Linked DNA regions of Caenorhabditis elegans. The protein of the gene in region 3 purifies or fractionates together with the protein of the main gene of each other region. This does not show direct contact. Each region holds a gene or a part of one and is shown on either strand. Other genes may lie near its edges.

Evidence for each region. Proteins that work in one complex are often made in the same cells at the same time.
Region 1: the proteins of F17A9.5 (region 3) and lars-1 fractionate together in Caenorhabditis elegans (co-fractionation; one large-scale study listed by BioGRID). This does not show direct contact.
Region 2: the proteins of F17A9.5 (region 3) and icl-1 fractionate together in Caenorhabditis elegans (co-fractionation; one large-scale study listed by BioGRID). This does not show direct contact.

The regions. Positions count from the first base shown.
Region 1 is NC_003281.10:4,179,819-4,189,957, forward strand, and holds lars-1 (Leucine--tRNA ligase), read right to left. Parts: upstream 6,984-10,139; 5' UTR 6,967-6,983; coding exon 6,854-6,966; intron 6,804-6,853; coding exon 6,332-6,803; intron 5,874-6,331; coding exon 4,788-5,873; intron 4,363-4,787; coding exon 3,451-4,362; intron 3,182-3,450; coding exon 2,552-3,181; intron 2,295-2,551; coding exon 2,162-2,294; intron 2,109-2,161; coding exon 1,894-2,108; 3' UTR 1,731-1,893; downstream 1-1,730. Other genes in the region: putative mitochondrial carrier C16C10.1, read right to left, coding at 356-516, 569-878, 1,137-1,232, 1,551-1,614; R74.2 (FIP (Fungus-Induced Protein) Related), read left to right, coding at 8,437-8,496, 8,545-9,336; ssp-28 (Saposin B-type domain-containing protein), read right to left, coding at 9,593-9,843.
Region 2 is NC_003283.11:722,608-730,955, reverse strand, and holds icl-1 (Malate synthase), read left to right. Parts: upstream 1-2,951; 5' UTR 2,952-2,998; coding exon 2,999-3,028; intron 3,029-3,097; coding exon 3,098-3,571; intron 3,572-3,976; coding exon 3,977-4,804; intron 4,805-4,872; coding exon 4,873-6,121; coding exon of another isoform or gene 6,122-6,132; exon of another isoform or gene 6,133-6,173; coding exon 6,174-6,499; 3' UTR 6,500-6,618; downstream 6,619-8,348. Other genes in the region: fbxb-72 (F-box domain-containing protein), read left to right, coding at 7,129-7,196, 7,242-8,214.
Region 3 is NC_003283.11:6,109,716-6,116,511, forward strand, and holds F17A9.5 (NADH:flavin oxidoreductase/NADH oxidase N-terminal domain-containing protein), read right to left. Parts: upstream 3,283-6,796; 5' UTR 3,218-3,282; coding exon 2,966-3,217; intron 2,915-2,965; coding exon 2,228-2,914; intron 2,052-2,227; coding exon 1,774-2,051; intron 1,725-1,773; coding exon 1,586-1,724; 3' UTR 1,256-1,585; downstream 1-1,255. Other genes in the region: cwf-19L1 (CWF19-like protein 1 homolog), read left to right, coding at 4,155-4,405, 4,461-4,625, 4,674-4,934; F17A9.4 (NADH:flavin oxidoreductase/NADH oxidase N-terminal domain-containing protein), read right to left, coding at 1-546, 596-847.

The DNA of each region.
Region 1 (10,139 bases), on a different chromosome or scaffold from region 3:
TTACAATTTAAACTTTTTTTGTGTTTTATTTTGGTTTTTTGAAAATTTCTATATTTTGTTTTTTTTGTTGGTTTTTTGGTTTGTCGAAAATTTCAATTTTTTCAAAAGATTTTTAGAAAATTTCAATTGATTTTAGTTTTTTTTTCTTGGTTTTTTTGTTCTTCGAAAAATTGTTTTTTTTTTTTGATTTTTCGAAAATTTCAATTTTTTCAAAAGATTTTTAGAAAATTTCAATTGATTTTAGTTTTTTTTGTTGGTGTTTTTGTTCTTCGAAAAATTGTTTTTTTTTTTTGATTTTTCGAAAATTTCAATTTTTGTTCCCCCAGCCCTGATACTTACTCCTAGTCCAACCCACCATGATAAGTAAGCCTCTTGCTTTGCATTTTCGTACGAATCATCTCAATGGGACTGACTACCGTAACCGCAATGGTTCTTGCTACAATTCCAGCCACTGCTGCAGCTGACCAATCAGGAGGCGTCCATTTTTCCGGAGAAAATGCCCGTCGGCAACACATTCTGAAAACCATTTTTATTATTTTTGGAATTTCAACAACAAAAAAATTCTAACTTTTTCTTCAACCAAACTGATAGATTATCATAAGTTGTAAAATAGAAAACAGTCGCCGGTAGAGCCATAACCATAGTAGGGGACAATCCACTCCATAATGACCGTATTCCTTCATGTCGTGCAATTTTCACAATTGCATCTGCAGTTCCACGAAAATTACCGGGTCGTTGATACCATTCACAAGGTTTTCTGACTTCACACGATACACAAACGTGCTCCATAAGACCATTGTGATAGTAAAAACATTCTCCTTTTGGAAATGGTCGAGTTTGTTGTTGGAGTCGAATTTTCACGACGTCTAAGGGAGTCACTGCAAAGATAAACTTTTCTGTTTTCGATTTTTCAGGCGTATATACGGTTGCGTGTCTCGAAACGACCGATATTTCGCAGATACCGTATCCCCAATAATTTTTTTGTTGTGTTTTTTCAATGCTTTTCAAATTGTGAAAAAATTATAATTGGGAAATACTTCTGGGTACGGTAGCTGCAAAGTTCCAATCCTTTCGAGACCCGGTACCGTACTTTTCTGTCCAAAATTGAAAAAATCTGCAACTGATATGAAGCTTACTAAAAAGTGATGTAACAATTGCACCAGATGAACTCGCTGATACTTGTTGTAGTACTCCAACGGATAGTTGCTTCTTGCAGCATTCTACTGATTTCGCTGAAAAGATTTTTGTTCGTTATATTTTATTCCAGATATTTTCTTCGAAAAATTTAGTTTTTTAACGCAAAAGTATAGTAATTTATTTTTGTTTTTGTTTGTACACGATCGAAATATTTTCAAATGAGGTACTGTAGCCTCACTCCTTCCAGATTTTGATGTCACATGAATAATAATTAGTAGACTTTAAAATCTCGAGAAAACAATGTGTTACCCACTTTTCATTTGGAAGTAATTCGATCGTGTCGAGACCCGATACCATAATTTTGCGATAAAAATCCCATATTTTCCCGAATGAGTAATAATCAAAATATTCACCACAAGACGAGGAAGGTGCTCCGGAGCAATTTGTCGTTTTACCGCTTTCACATGGTGACGGCATCTGTTACTGGAAATACGGAAACTTCCGATAAAAAATAGAAAATCACATTTAAAATATTAGGTTTGAAATACTTAGATAACAAATCACAGTTTTCAAAAATCTAGTATAATAACAAAAAAACCTTTTCATTCAACTTGGAAACAGGGAGAAAACAGTGAAAGCTGAAATAGGGATTCGGGTACGTATAAATTATGAAAATGAATAGAAACAACAAAACTCAAAAAGTGGGGATATAATATTATTAGAAACAAGAAGAACAAATAATTTTTTAGAAAGAATCTAGTTTTCTGGGACGTTAGCCTTGTACACAATAGTACGCCCAAGATCGAACTTTTCACTTCCAGAAGTCACAGAAATCTTGTTATCAGCCTCGAAATTGAAAATGTCTGCGTCGGACAATTGAATGTTCTCCTCGAATGGATTTCTGTACGAAATCATCTGTCGATCTCCCCAAACCGCGTTCTTGTATCTCCAGAGGCTCACTTCGAATTTCGCTGAAAATATAATAAATTGAATTTATTGTTTTCGGAATAGGGTTTTCTCATACGTTTGATTGCCTTGCTGATGCGTCTCATCTTCCGAATAACCATTGAAACACTGTCTCCATTAACAATTGGTACATCAACATCGAACATTGCATTGCAGATTTGAACATTTCTGGCGACAAGTTTGATTGTTGGCTGAAAATAATTATGATGTCATTATTATTGGTACGCAGAAAAATTCCCCTCTTGAAATTGATATGGAAATGCGCTCCACTGCCGATTGACAACGCCCCGCCTCCTACAGTTGGGTCTCGTAAGGTATTTGGCGTGCTTGAAAACTGCAGAGACGAATTTAAAATGTTTGAATTTACGGTTTTGCCGCCAAATACCTAACGAGACCCATGGTTAGAAGGCGGAGCATGTTCCCATGCCCCTATAATATGTTTCCTTACTCTATTCGGCGTGAAATTCAACATTGGCACCAGCGGTACTGTAGTCTCAACAATATTCGCATCAATTCCCTCCTCATCAGTATGTCGAATAGTAACACGATCCAAATCCAAAGCGTTCATAATAAAATCAATATTCTCGTTGAGAATTGAAGTTTGATCAACTGGACTAGAAGAAGCCAATGCTGAAACACCCTTCTGTTCGAATCTTTCCTTGATCATTTGAACGAATGGCATCGCTTTTTTGGCGAATTTCTTGAGTGATTCTTCTTTTCCAATGAGCTGACTGATTGCTTTATTATCTGGAAGTGCTCCATTATTAGCCTTGGCTTGTTTCTCAAGAATATCAAGAATAGTCTTCTGCCATGGTGGATATTCTTTAGCAACATAGATCACTGCTTCAGTTGGAACTTCTGGAATCTCCTTCAGTGCCTTCTTCTTTGGAGTCATGTAGGTTTTCAGTCGGGCACGGAATTCGGCCAGCGATTCCGTGATGAAACGAGCACCAATGGCGAGCTTCTCATCGACAGGATCGACAGTTGGCCATGGAGCATTTACAATCAAGCCGTCTTTTCCGAGCAATTGCCAGATGTATTCAGCAATATGTGGGCAGATTGGTGATAGGATGAGCATCTAAAATAAAAAACAAATTAAACTTTTAAAGGTGTCGTCTGGCGTTTTTTTTTTGCCCCAAATGACAGAAATCAGTCTTAATCGAACGAAAATAGATTTTAAGAAATTTATAGAAATTTCCTAAACTTTTTTAATATACGGCAATACTGATTTGTTTTTTTTCTCGTTTTTCTAGAATTTTTGTTGCAGAATTTGAAACAATTCTTTCAATTTTTACACTAATAATCGGTATCTGTCATCTTGAGAAAAAAATCTTTCTGAAAATATACCTGAGTTTCAATGAATCTAAAGACAAGCGATTCGCTCATTGGCTCATCAATTCCAGCGCAAAGTTCTCTGTATGTATCTCTAATGGCTTGATATTCGAAGAATCCAGTTTTCAGTGCATCCTTGAAGTTGGTAGCTTCATAATTTTGTTCTGTGGCAGCGATCAGTGAATTCATTTCATTTGCAAAAACTCGATCAGCGAATTTCTTTGCATCTTTTCGGAGAAGTCCGGCATCCCGTTGTTCAATCATTTCCTTGATCCATTCGATCATAGTGAATAGTCTCAGAATAGCTGCATCTGCCATTGCGTACACAAAGTTAGCATCTTCCAAACCATCCCCAGCATCGGCAAGACTCAATCTCATACCATCTGCGCTGAACTTTTCGATGGCTTCTTCCAATGTCATAAAGTTTCCAGTGGATTTCGACATTTTCTCATTGTTCAAGAGCAAATGTCCATTGGCCCGAATTCCTTTTGGCCATTTTGAAGTGTCTGTTGGCCAGATTGCAGCATGATTGAACAGAAGATATGTCAAATGATTTCCGATAAGATCTTTTCCAGATGCTCTCATATCAATTGGATACCAATACATGAATTCTTTCCTCAATGATTTAAGCTTTTCCTCCTCAACCGGCATGGTTTTCGAATCGTAAATTTCTCCGAGGAATACATAACTCCACGAAGCATCTGTCATCTGATCAGCTTTAATTCCAGCAGGTCCGACGACTGATCCATCAAAAGCTCCCTGTTGGAGAAGATGAGCAACTGTATAATAAGCATTGTAGATTGTAGAGTCTGACAGAGATTCGATGAGGTATTGAGTATCCCATGGAAGTTTGGTTCCAAGACCGTAACTTCTGGAGCAAGCATACTCGTGGAGCCAATCGACTGTGGTTTCCAATCCACGGCGGGTCTGAAAATTTTAATTCAGCGGAATAAGAATATACTACATAGACATCTAAAAATGAGAATTTTCGACATATCTTACGCGCAGAGGACGCAGGCAACGAATTACTGTAACTTCTGTTGTCTAATGGGCCGTTATTGCGTCATATTCTTTAAATTAAACTCCAATTTCAACAAAAAGGGTTTTAAAAAAATCGTCCGTAGAGTTGGAGTAATTTGTAAACTATGATATTCTTTGAACAAATTTTTTCGATTTTTAGATAAAATTGTGGTTTTATTTAGAGAATATGCTGCAATAAAAAACCCTTTGATCGGCAAGTTACAGTAACTCGTTGTCTGCGTGGCAAGACCTCTGCGCGTAAGAGATGGCGAAGATTCTTATTTTTAGACGTCTACATAATATTTTTTCAAAAATAATTTAAAAAAATATACCTCATCATTGAAAGTTCTGAGTGGCTCAAGAACCTTCTTTGCAGCAGCCTTCCATTCAGCCTCTCCATAATTCAAATACCATTGATCACACAACGCAACGACGCACTCATCTCCAGATCTGCTCATCACCTTCTTCTCAGGCTCCACATATTTCGTGGCAAGACCTTCAGCTGTCAAATCATCTTGAATAACTTTCTTGACGTCGGCTGTCTTCTTTCCAGCATACTTTCCGACGAGCATAACTCCATCGTAGAATCCTTTCAAATAAACTTCTTTCTTCGCCTCTTCCAGTTTGTCCTTCTCATTTTGAGACTCAATTTTCAGCCTTGAGCACATTTCAACTGCAGCCAAATCCCCAAGTCCTTCGATTTTAATAATTGGAACTGGTTCGAATGGAAGAACCATCTCATCAGTCAATCCATATTTTTCTCTCAATGGCTTCTTCTTCTTGAGATCCGACAAAGCTGCAAAATCATCTGGAGAGTCTGATGGTACACTTGTAACAACACCAGTTCCCTTATCATCCTTGATAGTCAACATTGGCAATGCATAAACTCTTTCGTATTTTGCGAGAGGCGCAGAGAGTGGAGCTCCGAGAATCTTGCTTCCAGCGATTTTCTCGAGTCCCAGGACATAGTTGACTTTACCATTTTCCTTAGTCAATCCTTGATATGACATGATTCTAGCAGATCTGGCAGTTGCCACAAATACTTGTTTCTCGTTTTCCGTCGCATAAAACACGGAATATTGAATATCTGGATGGAGATAACAATTCGTTTGTCCGTACATTGTTTCAGGTCTCAAAGTAGCCGCAACGAGATAAATATCCTCTTTGATATGGCTCAAAGCTTGAGGTTTTGGATCAAGAACTTTCAGTTTAATAAGAGTATATTCTTGTGGACCAACACCTTCTCCACTGGCACGATCGTGATCCATGCATGGTTGACCGTCTTTCGGTGAATAAATTGTATATCTCTTTCCGAAATCGATCTTCTTAGCTGCACGAAGAAGGTTGAACTGCCAACGGACGAATGAGTCGAAGTATGGATTCACGTCGGTGGTGATGAAGGAACGACGCCAATCAGCCTGAAAAATGGCAATTTTTAATTTAATAATTTCGAAATGTTTCTTTTTTAATTTTGTGATAAGTTAAATTTTTTTGAGAATTATATTATTATTAAAATGGAGAAGCAAAAATGAGGAAGTAAGGCATTTTGTTCCAATATTCATTAAATACAATTCAGGGATATAATATAGAAAAATATTTCATTTATCTGAAAATAGCTTTGATTAAGGTTGAAAAATTGGAAAAGTGCCAAAAAAATCGCCGGTAAAAACCGACCAATTATCGAAATTTTTTTACAGGTTATTTTCAACTTTTAATCACTAAAATAAAAACTATTTTCAGATAAATCAAATGTTTTTTTTCCAAATTCTATCACTAAATTTTAATCAAAAATATTGGAAAAACATAATAATTTAGTACTATTTTTACAGAACTCACTTTCAACACTTTAAGATGATTTCAACACTTTAAATCTTACCTTTAGTCCCATTTTCTTAAGATCAGCAATGCAATGTGGTGGGAAATAATATAGCCAATGATTTGGATCCGAGAATTCCTTAATTTCCTCATCACACAATCCCAGAGACTTCATAATTTGCCATTGGTATTTTGCATTTCCAGTTTTTGCCACCAATTTACTCTTCTTTCCTTTACTCTTATCCTTGATAATCTCATCGACAGCCGAAACTTCTTCTTTAACTTCCTCGACAACATCTTCCGGGAAATTTGGTGGATATCCGAAATCTTGCATTTCTCTTTTCAATTTATCTGCACATGCTTTAATTGGCATTCCAGTACAATGAAATCCGAATGGAAAGAGCACTTCTTTGCCTTGAAGACGTTGGAAACCGGCGGCAAATTCACATTTTGAAGCTGAGAATGTGTGTCCCAAATGAAGACGTCCATTCATGTATGGGAAGGGAAACGTGACGAGGTACTTTGGTTTTCCACTGAAATTTTTTAAATTGAAAATAATTCAAAATTTTCAGAAAAAACTCACTCATCCCTAGCATCCGCCTCGAAAGCCTTCTTGCTCTCCCACAGCTCCTGAATGCTCTTTTCAATTTCTTGAAGTTGAGCAACCTTCTTCCGCTCCTTATTGATTTTCGACATTGTCGATATTTGTTACCCTGATATTTAAAAATAATTAAAACCTTTAAAAAATTCTTTTAAGCAATAGATTACATCAGAAAACACAAAATGATGAAATTTACTTGGTTTCTATTTGAAAAAAATCAATAAGTGATTAGAAAGCAAACAAGTTTGTGGAAAAAAATCGATATTGAGATTTAATTGTCGATAAAAAAGTTCAAATTTTAAAGGGAACAACTTAAAATAGGCCCATTTTCTACCGTTCTAAAAATCCTGCATTATCATGGCCTAGTTTTGCAATGGCATCGACCGCGGCCACGTCAACTTTCCCAACTTTTCATAGGGGTTTCAATCACTCGGAGAAGGCGATAAAATAATACAATATTATAAAAAATGAAGAAAAATGTACTTTTCGAGTTCTCGAACAATAATTTACCAATTTATAGAAATACAATTAGTGATTTTTTCGGAGCAACAACAGAAATTGGATTTTTTCTACAATTATTAGTAATCTATAACAGGCTAAAGGTACATTAAAATAGTTTATAATAAATTTAATTATCTTTAAATTTTTTGGTATATAAAAATTCTACAACTGCTACAACATGAAACATATTGAAAAGGAATTTTTGCAATATTTCATATTCGACTGATTTCAGGAATAGGTCACACTGCACCATATTACTTGGAATTAAATTCGTAAATGCTCCGTTTTGCTCTTAACGAATCAAGTACGGTTTCTACTTTTGAATGGAATTTTGCAAAATATACTTAGTTCATAAAATTATTCCTTTTCCATATCCAATGAAGGCCAATTTATCAAGTTGGACACACACATTGGTCAGATTACAACAAGTGGGATTACACTCAACATCACTTTCTCCTTGCTATAAATACCGGCTGACAGACTTTAATAGTGACTTGAGATAGGTTCTTCGCTGGACGAACTTGACTCGATTTGTATTAATTCATCTAAATTTCTCAAAGCAGAATGTTCCGAAATCTAGATTTTAGTAAAATAGCCATATTTAACTAAATATGTTTCCATAAATCTTCTGAAATTCTCCCAATTTTTAATTGTTTTTTAACCAAAATTTTAATACCAAAAAATTTAAACATCTTCTTAATAGAAGGTACACAATAGATCATATATTTTCATAGTGATACTACTGATTAACCCAGGCAAAACATGATATATCCTAATTCGCAATATACAAAAAAAAACATTCCTTATCTCCGAAAATTTCCAGTTCTAATTTCACTTATTGCGCAACCATGGACGTCCGTCGTCTTCATCACTTTCTCACCTTGTTGTATATCACTACGCAACAAACTTATATAATTTTACCCGATATGCCAAGAACCAGATCTGTTTGAGGCAGATGATGTCCAGCTATTTGAAGGTTTTGTTACACTTCTAGTCAACCCGATTTTGGGAGTATTTAACGACGATGGAGATTGACCGATTTTAACAATCTTACACACTTCTAGATGAGGAGATCTATTATTTTTCTAGCGGCGATTTGTGGGGTCACGTTGGCTGAAAGAAAGGTGAGTTACTTTGGACAATTCGTACCTACGAATATGGATAATTTTTAGGCAAGACAGGATAATGTTGGTGACGATTATTCTGATTTTTCATCTCAACCGGTCAAGAATGCTGGTGCCAACCATAATTTGAAACAAGTAACCTACTCAACAATCGCACCGAAATTCGATATTCCAACTCGTGCACCACTTTTGAACCCAAATCCGATTGGACGCAATCAGAATCCCGTTCAAACTACCACAAAGAGGCCAGTTGTCGCCTATAGAAGAGGGTATTTCTTCCAGCATTACCCATGGGATAGGCTTCCAAGAAGATATCTTCTTCGTCCAGGAATGACATATGTATATCCACCACAGTACACATTCGCAACCTACCGTTATCCACATCTGCCATACACCGACCACTACAGTATCTACCGTACTCATCCAGGAATCGGTTCCGGCTGTGGAGGAGGTGGGTGTGGTGGCGGATATCCACAGGGTTACGGTAGCTATGCTGGTTATGGAAACAGTGGAGGATGTGGAGGTGGAAGTGGCACCGGATGCGGGGGTTATAACGATGATGAAGACGAGGATTCATATGAAGACAGCGATGAGGAGAATGGAAAGAGTGGAGAAGCAAAGATCAACAAGAAGGATCCATTGGAAGATTTGGAGCTGGAAGATTTGGAAAAACTATCAAAATCTGATGACACAAAATCTGGAACTTCTGAGGCAGTCACTTCTGATGATGTTGATGTTGAACCAACTGAGATTAAAAAATCAAAGTTAGGAGATGATGAGGACCTGATTGACGATCGAAAAAAAAAAGCAAAAAGAAACTTCCTCGTCAAGTGGGCTTAATTAACTAAGAATTTCACTATTTTTGTTAAAATTATTATTTATTTTTTGTTATTGAGGATCTCAGGGATAATTGACAATTTGCTGCAATTCGAATTCTCTGCAATATTGTAAATAAATATTTTTTCACTTTTAAAAACGGCCGACAACAATGAAAACGTATGTTTCCACTTCATATAACCACAGAAACGATATGCACGACATCAAATAAACATTTCAAATGACTTTATTACAAAATGCATTTCCTCCACTCAAAGGATTACTGTAGGTCACAGAATCGCAACGCCTGACAGACACTTGTTGATGGAATACCTTGTCGAACACGTTGAAACATTTCCTTCACATTCTCGGACACGAATTGCACACAAACAGGCTCCATGAGTCCCATTTTATCGCACTTTTTGAACATTGAATTAACTGTTGCAGTAGGTGTCATCTCTCTTTCAAGAGACTCACTGACAACTGTGCACAACATGCATGTCACCACGGAAGTTGCTTCACAACGAAGTGCTGAACAGAGTATTGTTATTAATTGGTACTGATCAAGCTTAAGCCTTTTCTAAAACTGACTGGGAAACATCTAAAACCTAGTGAATCATAAATTATCATCACCTTCCGTTCCAGGTGCCGACCTACTTTCGGTTTCAATCGTTATCTCCGATTATCTTTTGCCATCCGAAAGATAAATGCCAGTTGCATATACACAAAGAAAAGTGAAAGAACGTTCATAAAGACGATAGCTTCTCATATTTCTGGTAGGCGAGGAGAGGAAGTTTTTGAAATTGACTCTTTTGGCTTTTTTGTAG
Region 2 (8,348 bases), 5.4 Mb from region 3:
CCAAAATTGTTCCCATAATTGCAAACATTTTTTAGTAAACATTTTTCTAAAAATTTTCTGAATTACCAGTAGTTTTATTGATTAGTTCAACATTTTTAAAAACAATTTGAACAGTTTTTCCATAAACTCATTCAGATTTAAGTACAGAAAACACCTTGAATACTTAAAATTTGGGTTTCAAAATGATATAAATGATTATTTGAAGCATCGTCAACATTCTGTCAAGGTTTCAGAAAAATTTGAAAAAAAAATGTTTTACTGAAAGTTTTCGTCAAACAATTTCTGATTTTTTTGATTTTTTTTCAGAAAAAAGTTGTTCCAGGTTAAAATCCTTAGCATCTGTTCCCTATCAATGCTACGATTGTTTTTTCTTCATTCCATGAACAGGTCCTTTGGACTTTTGAAGAGGTCCAAAGTACACCGCGTGGCCTCCGCGCCCCGTCGTACTTTGTCCCCCCGATACAGTTGTTGTGTTTTCGAATTTATAAATTACACGTGACTGTGTAACTTTACGAGTTTCTGATAAGCTTGATTGGACTGGGAAAAAGCTTCAAAGAACGATTGAAAATTGTAGGGAGCCTATTGAAAAAAAGTTTTGTTACGTTTTCATAAGCATTTACACACAAAACCTGCCGAAGATCATAAGAACAATTTAGCTGATTGTCTGGGTCTCTGTGTAGGTTTTTCTGTATAATGGTGTTTTCTGATAAAATACACATTGATTTACCGGTTTACAAAACAGCGCAAGGTTAAAAAAAATTTTACCTTTAAAATTTTTTGGCAAGGAAGGTGTAAAAATTATTTTAAAAGATTCGAGTAAAAATTGAAATTTCAATGTTTCAAAAAAGATTGTCGGGAAGTTTAAATTAAAATCTTTAATTTAAAAAAAAATTTCGATAGTTTTGGAATTTTCAATTTCCAAAAAAAAATCGAAAAATTATGGCGAGTCATAAAAAAAATTAAAATTTCCGGAAAAATCGTTAAATTTTAAATTCTAAAAGGTATAAATTTTACAACAAAAAAATCGATGAAAATTAATTTTTCTAACCATTTTGACAGCACTTTCACATTAAAAAAAAATTGGCGGGAATTTCAAGTTTTAGGTTGTTCCAAATTTTTTGGCGGTGAATTAATATTCTATTTTTCGATTAACTTAATTTCACAACAAAAAAAAATTGGAGAAAGTTATATCTTTAACTTTTCTACAAAATTCAGCGCTAAATTTAAAATTTTGATTTTTAAAAAATAAAGTTTCCGGAAATTAAAATATTCCTAACTAGCCTAAAGCCTAAAGCCTAAAGCCTAAAGCCTAAAACCTAAAGTTTAAGACAGGGCTAAAGTTTCATGTAAAAAATGGGTTGAAAATTAACATCTTTAATCTAGATTTCTTGTTGTAAAAAGTGTTCATTATATTTTCTGGCACCGCAAATTCCAAATAATTTTTGACCTTCCACTTCTCTTGTCAAACAACTTCAACCACATGTGTTCTGACTCCTTATCACCAAGATCATTGATTAGTGCACATATACATCTCACATCATAGATACTTTTCTTTTTTGGATCAAAGAAGCTTCAGCCCCGCCACTTCACAGATCATATGGTTACAACAAAGAGATAAAGAGATAAGTCAGGAGTCCGCAGAGAAACTAAGAACCAAACACGCGATATTCGGGTTGTCCACCGTCGGCTGTTTTTGTTGCAGTGGTGAATTGGGGATGTGTGTAAGAAAAAAATTATTTGGAAAAAGACCAACATCGTGGCGCGGTGAAGGTGCTTTGGTGTCTTCTTTTTGAATAGTGCAATTATTTGAAAAATAAGACCAAAGTATTGTTTTCAAACAGGTTATGCAATAGTTTATAGTTAAAAGAAAACCTGAATTTGACAGATATTTCAAAACTGGCGGGGATAGCCGGTCTTAGTGGCCGCTAGCAACGAGTTCAAGCCCTGACACCCTCTAGGATCACCCAGTCTTAAATGGAGCAATCTGAATTCTCCGTGGCTCGAACCTAAATCCCAGAGAGAGCTCCACCAGGAATGTTGTACAGAAATTCAGCGATGCATAAGACTTGAAGAACGGGTTTTATTTGACTTGAATTTAAAATAAAATATAGGTTTTCAGTTAAGTTTTGTAGCCTTTTTGGGAAATTCTGAACATATTTTAAAACTTTAAAACTCCCCGCTACTCCAAAAAAATATCCTATCAATGTTGTTTTCTTACGAAAAATAACTGATTCCAGTGGGATTTTGTTTGTTTGCCCTTTCATTATATGTAATTGTTTACTCAACTTTTTCCTGATTATTTAGTATTATTTAACATAAATAGTCTGGCAATATGAAGAAGTAAGCTTTACAAATTTGAAAAACCAAAATTTACCATTTTGTAAAATTTTTCAAGTCACGGTTACAGCCAAATAATTAAGTGAAAAATTACAAAAAAATTATTATGTACATTAAAACTGCAAATTGGGTGCAATTCTAGACTAATAAAAAATATATAAATGCCCTAAAAATTTCATATCTTAATTTTTTCTGGTTGATTTATTTTGACTTTCATTTTTTGTAATTTAAAATAGACTTACAATTTTGTAATTCTGATAGAAAAACCAAGTTTTTTCTAAAATATTAACAGTTAGCACCCAGCATTTCAAATTTCAAAAAAACTGCATTATTGACAAACATCTCCCATATACCTAAACATTTTCAAAAAGCGTACTTCATCAACGATCAACCATCATATCAAGCTGCCAAAAAGACACACAAAAAAAGCGTAAACAAAATAATTGACTGTTCTCTCTGCACCTCTGCGTCTCTTTCTATCTATTCATCAATTGTCTCTCTCTCCTAATGATATCACACACTGCCTCGACTCCGCCCCCTATAGTTTCGGACCCTTATCGCTCTGCGTCTCGTCGGGCAGAGTATAAAAGCCGGGTCCCGGGAGGTGTGCCGACTTTAGTTCCCTCACAAGAACTAAGCTTATTATACAAAGACACACACAATGAGTTCTGCGGCTAAAAATTTTTATCAGGTATGTTGGTTTATTTTTTTATAATTTGAAATTTAATATATGAAATTTTTAAAATTTAAATTATTTCAGGTAGTCAAATCGGCTCCAAAAGGCCGCTTCAAGGGCATCAAACGTGACTATACCGTCGAAGATGTGCTCAAACTCCGAGGCTCCATCGACATTGACTACACCCTTGCCACACGTGGAGCCAACAAACTCTGGCAACTATTGCACACTGAGCCATTTGTGCCGGCTCTCGGAGCCCAGACTGGAAACCAAGCAGTTCAGATGGTCAGAGCCGGATTGAAGGCTATCTACTTGTCCGGATGGCAGGTGGCTGCCGACGCAAACTCCGCTGGAGACATGTACCCCGATCAGTCTTTATATCCAGCAAACTCTGGCCCGGAATTGGCGAAGAGAATCAACAGATCTTTAAGAAGAGCAGACCAGATTGAAGCCTGTGAAGCCGAGGACTACCTCGCCCAACGTGATTGGTACGCGCCAATCGTTGCCGATGCAGAAGCCGGATTCGGTGGAGCCCTGAATTGCTTCGAGTTGATGAAGGTAGGCATGCAACACTAACAGTTGCTCTTCACTGACCACTGGACACTTTTGGGGGTGAGAGAGATAAGAGTGGCAGTTGGCATTGCCGGTGTGTAGCTTTGTTGTGTAAAAGTGTATAGTTTCAAATGATTTCAACGCGGGCGTCTAAAGGAAACGGGACGGGGAGTGTGTAGGGAACAAAGAATGTCCAGTGGTCCTGGTCCTTTGACCTATTCAGTTTTCCAAAATCGGTACATACGAAGTTCCATGTGTTCCTTTCTTCTCTTTTTATCACCCCCATTTCATCGCAGCGCTCACTTCTCGGTCAACAAACATCTTTCTTCTCTATTTTTCTCCACCCAACAATGATTAGAATGATTAGATAACGCTATCAAAAACAACAAAAATGATCGTTGGTTGTTTTAGGCCTATATCGAAGCCGGTGCGGCAGGAGTTCACTACGAAGATCAGCTTGGATCGGAGAAAAAATGTGGTCATATGGGAGGAAAAGTCTTGATCCCAACCGCCCAACACATTCGTCACTTGAATGCGTCTCGTTTGGCTGCTGATGTCTGCGGAGTTCCTACAATCATTGTCGCAAGAACCGACGCAGAGTCCTCTAGACTTTTGACATCTGACATTGATCCAAGAGATCATCCATACATTGACTACGAGGCTGGAAGAACGATTGAAGGATTCTACAGACTCAAGGATTCCACTGCAATTCAGTATTGTATCGATCGTGCCATCCAATATGCTCCATACACCGATCTCATCTGGATGGAGACCTCTCACCCAACGATCGCCGACGCCCGTGAATTCGCTGAAGGTGTCCACAAGCAGTACCCAGACAAGATGTTCGCCTACAACTGCTCTCCATCCTTCAACTGGAAGAAGCATCTGTCCCCATCGCAGATGGAGAAGTTCCAGAAGGAGTTGGGAGCTATGGGATTCAAATATCAGTTTATCACGCTTGCCGGATACCATGCCAACAGTTATAGCATGTTTGACTTGGCCAGAAACTACAAGGAGAAGGGTATGCTCGCCTATTCCGGGCTCCAGGAAGGAGAGTTTGCTGCTGAGAAGCATGGATATACGGCAGTAAAGCATCAGAGAGAAGTGGGAACCGGATACTTCGACGCTGTCAGTCGTGCGGTTACCGGAGGACTCTCTTCGACTACTGCCTTGTCAGGATCCACTGAAGAAGCTCAATTCCAGACTGCTGTTGCTTCGCAGGATGAGGAAATCCTTTCGGTACGTTTTATTCAGACCTGCATATTAAGGCAAGAATTAGAAGAAAAAATAACTAAACAAAATTTCAGCTCACCGCCCAAAACGTTGCTGGAGACGAGAAGATCCTCACACCAGATGCTCTTCGCTTCCTCCACGACCTCAACACCGAATTCAACCCTCGCCGTTTGAGACTTCTCTCCAAGCGCAACCAAGTTCAGGCTGATATCAACAACTCCCTCTGGTTCCCAGATTTCAACAAGGAGACCGAGGTGCTCCGTAGTGATCAAGGATGGAAGGGAGCCGAGATTCCAAGGGATTTGCAAGATCGTAGAGTTGAGATCACTGGACCAACCGATCGTAAGATGGTTATTAATGCTATGAACTCTGGAGCCAATGTATTTATGGCTGACTTCGAAGATTCCAACTCCCCAACATGGAGAAACCAGCTTGAAGGACAGATCAACTTATATGATGCTGTAAGAAATAACATCTCCTACACCCACCCAACTACTAAGAAGGAGTACACACTGAATGAGAAACACGCCGTTCTGAAGGTCCGTCCACGTGGATGGCACCTTCCAGAGAAGCATGTCCTCATCCACAACCAGCCAACTTCAGGATCTCTCTTTGATTTCGGACTCTTCGTTTTCCACAATGCCAAGGCCCTCATCGCCCAGGGCTCCGGTCCATATTTCTATCTTCCAAAGCTTCAAAGCGCCGAGGAGGCTCAACTCTGGGCTGACGTTTTCAAGTACACCGAGGACAAGCTAGGCCTCGCCCGTGGAACCATCAAGTGTACCGTGCTCATTGAGCATTTGCTCGCCAGCTTCCAACTCCACGAGATCATCCATGCCCTCAAGGACAACATTGTCGGACTCAACTGCGGACGTTGGGATTACATCTTCTCCTACATCAAGACGTTCCAGAACCATCGCAAGTTCCTTCTCCCAGACCGATTCCAAATTGGAATGACCGCTCCATTCATGAGAAACTACTCCTTGGAAGTCATCAAGGCCTGCCATCTCCGTGGTATCCATGCCATGGGAGGTATGGCTGCCCAGATTCCAATCAAGCACGACCAGGTCGCCAATGACAAGGCATTTGCCCTAGTCAGAGCTGACAAGGAACGAGAGGCCACTGACGGACACGATGGAACATGGGTTGCTCATCCAGGATTGGTGCCATTGGCTAAGAGAGTTTTCGATCAAATGATGCCAAAGCCAAACCAGATCAGCAAGAATCTCACCCGCGCCAATTGCACCAAGGAAGACCTCACTGTGATCCCAGAGGGAACCCGCACTGAAGCTGGATTCCGCCATAATATCTCTGTAACTCTTGGTGAGCCTTAAAAAATATTTTTGAACATTTTTGAAATTGGAATTAATTTCAGGATACCTCGACTCTTGGCTCAGAGGAACCGGATGCGTGCCACTCTACAACTTGATGGAGGACGCTGCCACCGCCGAAATCTCGCGTGCTCAGCTCTGGCAATGGCTCCATCATGATGCTAAGCTTGAGGACGGTCGCACTATTGACGCCGGACTTGTCAAGCAAACGATTGCCGCCGAGACCGAGCGTCGTCTCATCCGAGCCGGATCAGTTGTCAACCGAATCCCAGAGGCTGCCGACTTGCTCGAGAAGTTTGTCACCGAGGAGAAGATGAGCGACTTCTTGACCACCGACGCTTACGACAGGCTTGTCTCTGAAGGATATTAGGAAATTTTTTTAAATTTGAATTACTTATTTGTATACTTCTCTCCATGATTTTCGTTGCACCTACTGGTTTTCTTGTACATTCTGCCGTTAATTATAAATCTCTTCAGTAAAATTTTGTCATGTCCGTGTTGTGTTCAAAAAGTCCACGAATTCCAGACTTTCCCACGATTTGAGACTTTACCTCATATCCGTGTCACTTCATTTTTTCACACAAAAAAAGCACGTAGTGAATCACTTGAAAAAAAAATCTTGAATTTTCTCTGGTTCTCTGGTCTATGCGTAAGTCTCAAAAGTTTGAGATAAAAAGGTGACATCTATGAAGCGTGAAAATTGAAGCTGCAGAGTCATAAAGTACGAAGCGATGTTTTGTTACATAAGCTACATATGTTTTCTATCTAAAACTTATGTTTCATTATTCAACAATCAAATTGTTTCAACTGTTTGTGTTCGTGTTCCGCTGCAAACACATATAGCAAACTGTAAATTGCAATATAGATGCTCTACAGGTGGCCTGCTGCCTCCACACACCTATCGACTCAAATTAGTACATCTGCGCAACGACTCGCCATTCAAATAGTCGATAATCTTACGTCAGTTGTCCATTCCCTCTCATTTCTTATTTAGCACAAATGAATATTCTCCGACTACCCACAAAAGCACTTCGCTGCACACTTCAACACTGGCCGCTTCTAGAAATGTAAGTTATTTAACTAAAAACAAAACCAAATGTGAACAATTTCAGATTAACATTTTCGTTGTTTTCAAAAAAGACGAAAAATCTTTCTAAATCTCTGCATCGAAGCGCCTTATCGATTTCTGTGAATGTTGAAGAGTTGATTGAACTCAAAATTCAAATCGCTCGGCGTGATACAATCAACTTCATCTTTTACACAAGCAGATATAGAGCCAATCCCTACTATGACCCCAATGCGGGAGTTGTGTTAATTGATAATCCAGATGAATATATAGGAATCGTGGATACAACTAAAAACAGTCGGATTTGGATGCACTTTCCGAATATGGGAATACGAGATTTTGTTGATCACTTTTTCGATGTCTTGAGTCTTTCAAAACTTGATGAATTTTCCATATCTAAGGACAACTACTGCACTCAAGAGTTTTGTGATGAGTTCAAGGAACTCGACGTTCAAACTTTTGTGAGCCCCTTACAAATGGACAACTCTTCGTTCTACCAGAAGATCATAAGAATGTTTTCGAGTAGAAGTAAAAGGCTTGACTTCGGTCTTCCCACATTCCCATTTAAAACTCATACAGCTCAAGAGTTCATGTTTCAAAATTTCAATTTCTTCCAAATCTTGTACAAATGCAGTCTTGTAGAGGTTCTCTCCATAAACAGTACTCTAATATATGGTGAAGACCTTATTGGCGTGAATCAGTTGAACGTATTCTTGAGGCATTGGATCAACGGATCCAACCCAAGACTCGAGTACTTTCAATTTTATGTGTATTTACAGACAAGTTTGGAGGACTTGTTCTCGATAATCTTTAACAAGGTGAATTATCAAAGACAGCCAGATAGCCTTTTGAGGGCGTTTTGCCTATCAGTTCAAGGATATGATGATTTGATATACAACCTAAAAAAGATCAAAGGAGGAATGGATATCGAGAGAACAGATGGAGCAAGAGCAACTGTAAAGATCAACGGTGTAGGGCACAATCACTTTGTTCAATTCTTCAAATGGGATAACAACTAAAGTTTAACAACATTCATGTAATTCTGCATTTTTCGTGTACTTTATTTAATGCATTTTCTGAGATTTTTGTTTAATAAGCTACTTGTTTAATAAACTACTGCATTTACGCATTTTTTCTAATTGTTAATTACAAT
Region 3 (6,796 bases):
TGCATCGTCAACAGTTGTTCCCTGCTCTTGGAACTCTACCGAGTTTGTCTTAATTCCCACCATAAATCCAGTTGATTCGGGAATTTCAGCTCGAATAGCGTCATAGATCTCAAGGATGATGCGTTGACGATTCTCAATTGAACCACCATACTGATCAGTTCTCTTATTGGTAGTTGGAGACGTGAATTGAGCCAAAAGATAACCATGAGCTCCGTGAAGTTCAACTCCATCAAATCCAGTCTCGTAGGCAAACTTTGCAGCATAAACGAATCTATCAATGATTTGAGTCTTGATTTGCTCTGTGCTCAATGGAACAGGCTGTCCGAATGCAGTGAAACGCCGTTCACCACTCAACTTCACATCAGAAGCCGACCACGGATTCGGTTCTACTGTAATTGGAGTCTGACGGCCTCCGTGAGATAATTGAACAACGGCAAGAGCTCCGTCCTGCTTCATGTTTTTTGCCCACTGAGTGAACAGAGCTCTACGTTCTTCTCCATCTCCTTCTTTGAAAATTATGGCATTTCCAGCAGATTCCAAATTAGTCTAAAATTATATAGAACGTATTATTTTTCTAAACTCTTCAGTGACTTACCGGGTCGACAAGAACATTTCCAGTCAGAATAGTACCAAACTTTCCGTGTCCCCATTTATCGTACAAGTTCAAGATGAAGTTTGTAGGAAGACCATGCTTCTTTGGATTTTCCGGATCATAAGTGGACACTCGTTCGGTTAGTGCAGCTTTCAAAAACCGATTTTGAGCAGTTTTCCCATTTCGGAAATTGAGTTGCTCTCCAAGAATTTTAGAAGAGACAGTTAAATTATCACAGAAGCGACTGGCAGCCATTTTTCGAAGAAATGAAAGAACAAAATGTTACTTTTATAGCAGTGTACACGCAGGTCAAATATAGTGCGTTTTCTGATCGGCTAGGTTGTTGGGCAAACAAGAGTATGCACACCTTATGAAAAGACGCAGAGGCAGAAAGAAAGTGTCTAACCAAAAAGATGACAACGTTTGCTGTTCTATTGTGGTCTCACTGGTCGAGTGATGACAATTGTGCACCTGGTTGCCTGAGAAACGAAGAAAGATCTGTGATCTTATGATTTTATGGCTATTTCGAAAGTAGAATCTGAATTGCATTTTGTGCCCAGTCACAAAGTGGAGACGCCGAAGTATTATATTTCTTCTTTCTAACAAGCCGATTAGAATTGGTTATGATACACGTCGCTGAATAAGTTTTCTAAGAGGCAAAGATAGCATTACGAGAAAGTTTTATAAAAAGTTTAAAACACCTAGATTATGTAAAATAGGTTAAATGTTACGGGAACACAACATGCTGAGAATGCGTATTGGGCAACATATTTGACGCGCAAAATATTTCGTAACGAAAACTACAGTAATACTTTTATTGACTACTGTAGTCGATTTACATACTCGAATTTCGAAATGAATTTCTAATCGAAAGCGAATTATTTTTTAAATTATTTTAGTTTTCGCTACGAGATATTTTGCGCGTCAAATATGTTACCCAGTACGCATTCTCAGAACTTTGCGTTTCTGTAATACCAAGTGCAAATACAGTATTTAGTTGAATGCAATTATTGCTTTCGGTATTTTTCCTTCACTAATATCGAGTGCTGCTTGTTTCACATGTAAGCCCAATGCTTCAGAAAATCTTTGAACGGTGTGCTCATCGCTGAAGTCGGTGATTAGATGCATTATACTGAAAATGATTAACTTTCCAAAGTATCAAAAACTACTTTGGATCATACTTTCCGCCTGCTTTTTCCATATTCGTACGCCCCATTTGATCCATTTGTGTGCCACTTGCCATTACTGTTGTTGCAATATCATTTGGATTGAATGAGTCTTGAACTGCTGAAATGGCTTTTCCTTCTAGAATCTTCTTTGGCAGATCTGGCTCCGCTGTAATTGGGCGCCCGAGACCAATTCCTTGAGTTGCATTACAGGAGATTGCGTTGATCATAGCAGAAACTGTTCGGAAACCTCCAGTCAAATATACCACCGTTTTATTGAAAACTGGGCGAATCTGAAACCGTTACAATCAATTTAATTTGATTGATTGTGAAAATGGATGACTTGGCAGGGATCCTAATTCGATTAAAATTTGGAAAGTACGAATGTATAAACTTTGACTACGTGTTTTCAAAAACCTTTTCTTACATGATTTTTTGAAATATTGTTAGTATATAAATAAATAATTACCTGTTCGGCAAATTCAGCAAAAAATGCCTCTCTCTTCTTAGTCGACTCTCGATCCCAGGTCCAGTTGAGCTTCTCAAATGTTCCTCCAGTTAGCTCCACAAAGTCAACTCCTTTGTCCTCATATACTTGACACATAATTTTAGCATCTTCCAAAGTAAGTCCTTCTGATTGAAATTCCACTGAGTTTGTTTTAATTCCCACCAAAAAACCAGTTGATGCCGGAATTTCAGCTCGAATAGCATCATAAACCTCGATAACGATTCTCTGACGGTTTTCCAGCGAGCCTCCATACTTGTCAGTTCTCTTGTTAGTTGTTGGAGATGTGAATTGAGAAAGCAAATATCCATTGGCTCCGTGTATTTCGATTCCATCGAATCCACATTCATATGCAAATTTGGCAGCATAAACGAATCGATCTACCACTTCTGTTTTAATTTGCTCAATTGACAAGGGTTTCGGCTTTCCATACGTTGTCATACGTGTAGCCGATACAAGTTGAACATCAGAAGCTGACCAAGGAGTAGGATTCACGAACTCTGGGGTCTGTCTTCCAGCATGAGATAGCTGAATTACGGCAAGAGCACCATCTTGTTTCATTAGCTTAGCCCAGTAAGTGAACAGAGCTCGACGCTCATGACAATCTCCTTCCTTGAAGATTATAGCATTTCCAGCAGCTTCCAAATTAGTCTGAAAAGGTCAGTATTGAAATGAATGGATTTTTTTGTTGAAAAAACTTACTGGGTCCACTAGAACATTCGAAGTTAAGATCATTCCGAAATTTCCATTTCCCCATTTATCATAAATATTAAGAATAGTATCAGTTGGAAGACCGTGCCTTTTTGGCTCATTTGGATAATAATTGGATTGAATCTCGGTGAGGGCAGATTTCAAAAATCGATTATTAGTTTCTCGACCATTTCGAAATTTCAAATGTTCTCCAAGAACATCTGGGGAAACGATTTCAGCATGTGGGAAACGACGAAGAGACATTTTGGTTCTTTGTGTCGACGAAATGATTGTTGTATTTATACTCTTGGCCACATTCTAACTACAATGCATGTTTGACCTTATCTCTTGGTAATCGTTGTGTTTTTGGGTACTCTCTCTTTTCCACCACATGAAAATTTGTTGTTCTTTGATTAAAATGCGACCTTTTTCTGTATTTTACGGCCTAGTAATTTTGTTTTTTAAACCTGAAAATGAAAGTAGTATTAAAATGAACACATTTGAATTAAAAGTTAAACATTTAGTGCGTAGGGATAGAAAAGGATAAGTACCTGTTTTTGTTACGAAAACAACTGAAAAAAGGAAGTATAGAAGATCATAAAACATTCTTCGCCTAGTTAAAATACATTGTAAGAATATAATGAAATTTTGGAAAAAAATAATCCAAAAAATATTTCAAAGGCTTTTATCGCCAATTGTACCGAAACAAAAAGTTTTAAAAATTTTTTAAATAATTATATTTAAAAAAAAATGCAGACATCTATTACGGGAACACAAACTTGTAAGAATGCGTATTGCACAACATATTTGACGCGCAAATATCTCGTAGCGAAAACTACAGTAATTCTTTAAATGACTACTGTAAGTCATTTAACGGGCTCGATTTTTGAAATAAATTAAAACAATCTATTTATCGATACAATATTGAAATTAGGCAAAAAATGAGAAAATAATACGAAGAAACGAAGGAAAATAACTGATCGCTTATCGAACCCGTAAATCGACCGAAACGCTACAGTAGTCAGTTAAAGAATTACTGTAGTCTTCGCTATGAGTTATTTTGCGCGTCAAATCTGTTGCACAATACGCATTCTCACAATTTTGTGTTCCGTAATATGCACATTCTTCAAAAATACAGTTTTCGAGTTTTTAATTGTATTGACTCGAAAAGGTTAACAAACATAAAAAAACGTTTTTATAGGAAACGATGGACCACGAAACAAGCAACCAGTTGGACCATGTTGGTTCTGTTTATCGAATGTAGACGCCGAAAAGCATTTGGTGGTCGCCATTGGAAATAAATGCTACGCAGCCATGCCGAAAGGACCACTCACTGAAGATCACGTTATGGTTCTATCTGTTGGACATATTCAATCACAAGTTTCTGCTCCAGTTGAAGTTCGTGATGAGATTGAAAAGTTCAAGAGTGCGTTCACATTGATGGCGAATAAGGTAATTATTTAAAACAGAAATTCGTTTTTTTAGCCTCAAAATCTGTATATTTCAGCAAGGAAAAGCATTGGTCACGTTTGAACGTAATTTCCGCACACAACATTTGCAAGTTCAAATGGTTATGATCGATAAATCATCTTCGAAAGCATTGAAATCATCGTTTACAACTGCTGCTGCTTGTGCTGGTTTCGAGTTGGTCACAATGGGTCCTGATGAAAGTGTAAGTTCGGATTAATTATTTTACAATGAATAAAAGACAACGTTTCAGCTTCTCGACATGGTCAATGAAGGATGTCCATACTTTGTCGCAGAGCTTCCTGATGGATCAAAGCTTTTCACTAGAAGTATGAAAGGATTCCCATTGCATTTCGGACGTGAAGTTCTTGCTTCTACACCTATTCTGGATTGTGAAGACAAAGTTGATTGGAAAGCTTGTGTACTCGCGAAAGAGAAGGAAGTCGAACTGGTCAATAAACTGAAATCTGATTTCAAACCTTTTGACTTCACTGCTGAAGATGACTCCGACTAATCAAGGATTTTAATTTTTACGATCTGTTATTTATTTTATTGCTTTTCTAAATATTTATTAACTTAATTCCTCTCTTTTTGCTTGTTTTCTTGTGAAAAACTTTAAGATCAGTTTATGAAGAAGAAGAATTTTAATGCACACGAAAATGTTATTTGAAAAAAAAATTACTCTCAATTTGAAGGAAATTGGATAAATATGTGAAAAGACAAATGTAGTTTTCTTTAATTCTGAAAAAAACTAATCTTTCTACAATAATTTTTATTTAAGCAGTTACAAATTACGGGAACTTACAGTTCTATTGCGAAAATATCTCGCAGCGAAAACTACAATAATTTTTTAAAAATTACTACTGTAGTGCATGTGTCGATTTACGGGATCGGGGTCTAACAAGGAAGAATTATTTATTTATCGATAAAATATTAAAGGAAAAAATGAGACTATAATGCGAAATAACGAAGGAAAATGGAACATTGCTGTCAATATTCAAAAACAAATTCCTATGCTACAGTAGTAAAACTTTCATGAAATATCCTCATTCTTGAGATACATAAGTTTCACGAGAAAATGCCAAAAGTGAACTCACAAGGTGTCGGCTGCTGTATCTATTGATTTCAATGTATTAAAATTTTGAACCATGTGTTATCATGCAGAACAAATGCCACGTGGTGTCAGAGTGTCCCATGTCGGTTTGATCTACGTAGATCTACAAAATATGTGGGAGTTGAGACGCAGAGTTCTCAACTGATTTCGCATGGTTAAGAACGTGTTGACGTTTGGGGAAAAAATTCCCCCATTTTTTGTAGATCAATTCCCGATGGAACAGCCTGAAACCACGTGAAATGTTAGAAAAAATTTTGTTATTTGGGCGTTTCTTTCTATAGTTCCTAGATTGTGAGTTATACTTATTTGAAAACTAATAAAAATCACCAAAAAATCAAAACCGCATATACTTTTGGCCAACACTGTACATACTCTCCAATAGCAACACATGAATTATTATTGAAAAAATACGATCGCACAATTTTCTCATAATTTATTTTTGATTTACCTTGTTGAATAGGCTCCTTCTCTTCCTCCGGCAAGACAGCCGCAACAAAATAGCAACGGCAACAAGATTGGGGGCGGAGTCAAGTTCAACAGGTAGATCAAAAATAAATTTTGAGAAATTTGTGCGATCGTATTTTTTCGATAATATCTACTTCAGGATATCTTTTTATTATTTTCTCGAATTTCACTTGTTTCTAGAAAATATTGCTTGCAAATTTCCCTAACAATTCTCGATTCCGAAATGGTTTTGTCGTCGAAATGGTCGAAATGGAAATGATTTTTTTAAATAGCTCAACTTTTGTAAAACCTAATTTCATAGCTTTCAAACGTGACATTTATTTGGATACTTACTATTAGGACTAGAAAATGATATTTTTATAACTGAATTTCAAAATGTGGGGTTATATATAATACACAAGTACCGGGAAAGTATTTACGTGACCAAAGGTTATCATAATGGCATCAAGACGTATTATATTGATTTAAACTCTTTTGCATGATTTTAATTTATTTCTGAATTTCTCCACTAATTTCATTAGTGTGATCGATACTCTCTGCTACTCCTCGACGAGCACAAAAGGTACGTTAGCCAGAAATGTAAATTAGATACTAGGATACATCGAGGTTCCGTTATTGTATTTTAGATTTAAGTAAATTTCAAGGAGAAAAATTTTCACTCCAAAAACGAAAAAATTTTTGAGGAACCCATTTGAATTGTTTCCAAATTTTGTCGTTTTTGAGAACCTCAAACACATACAATTTATTTTTTAAAATTTAATATTACCATTTCTTTTGAAAACGTAATATAATTTCCA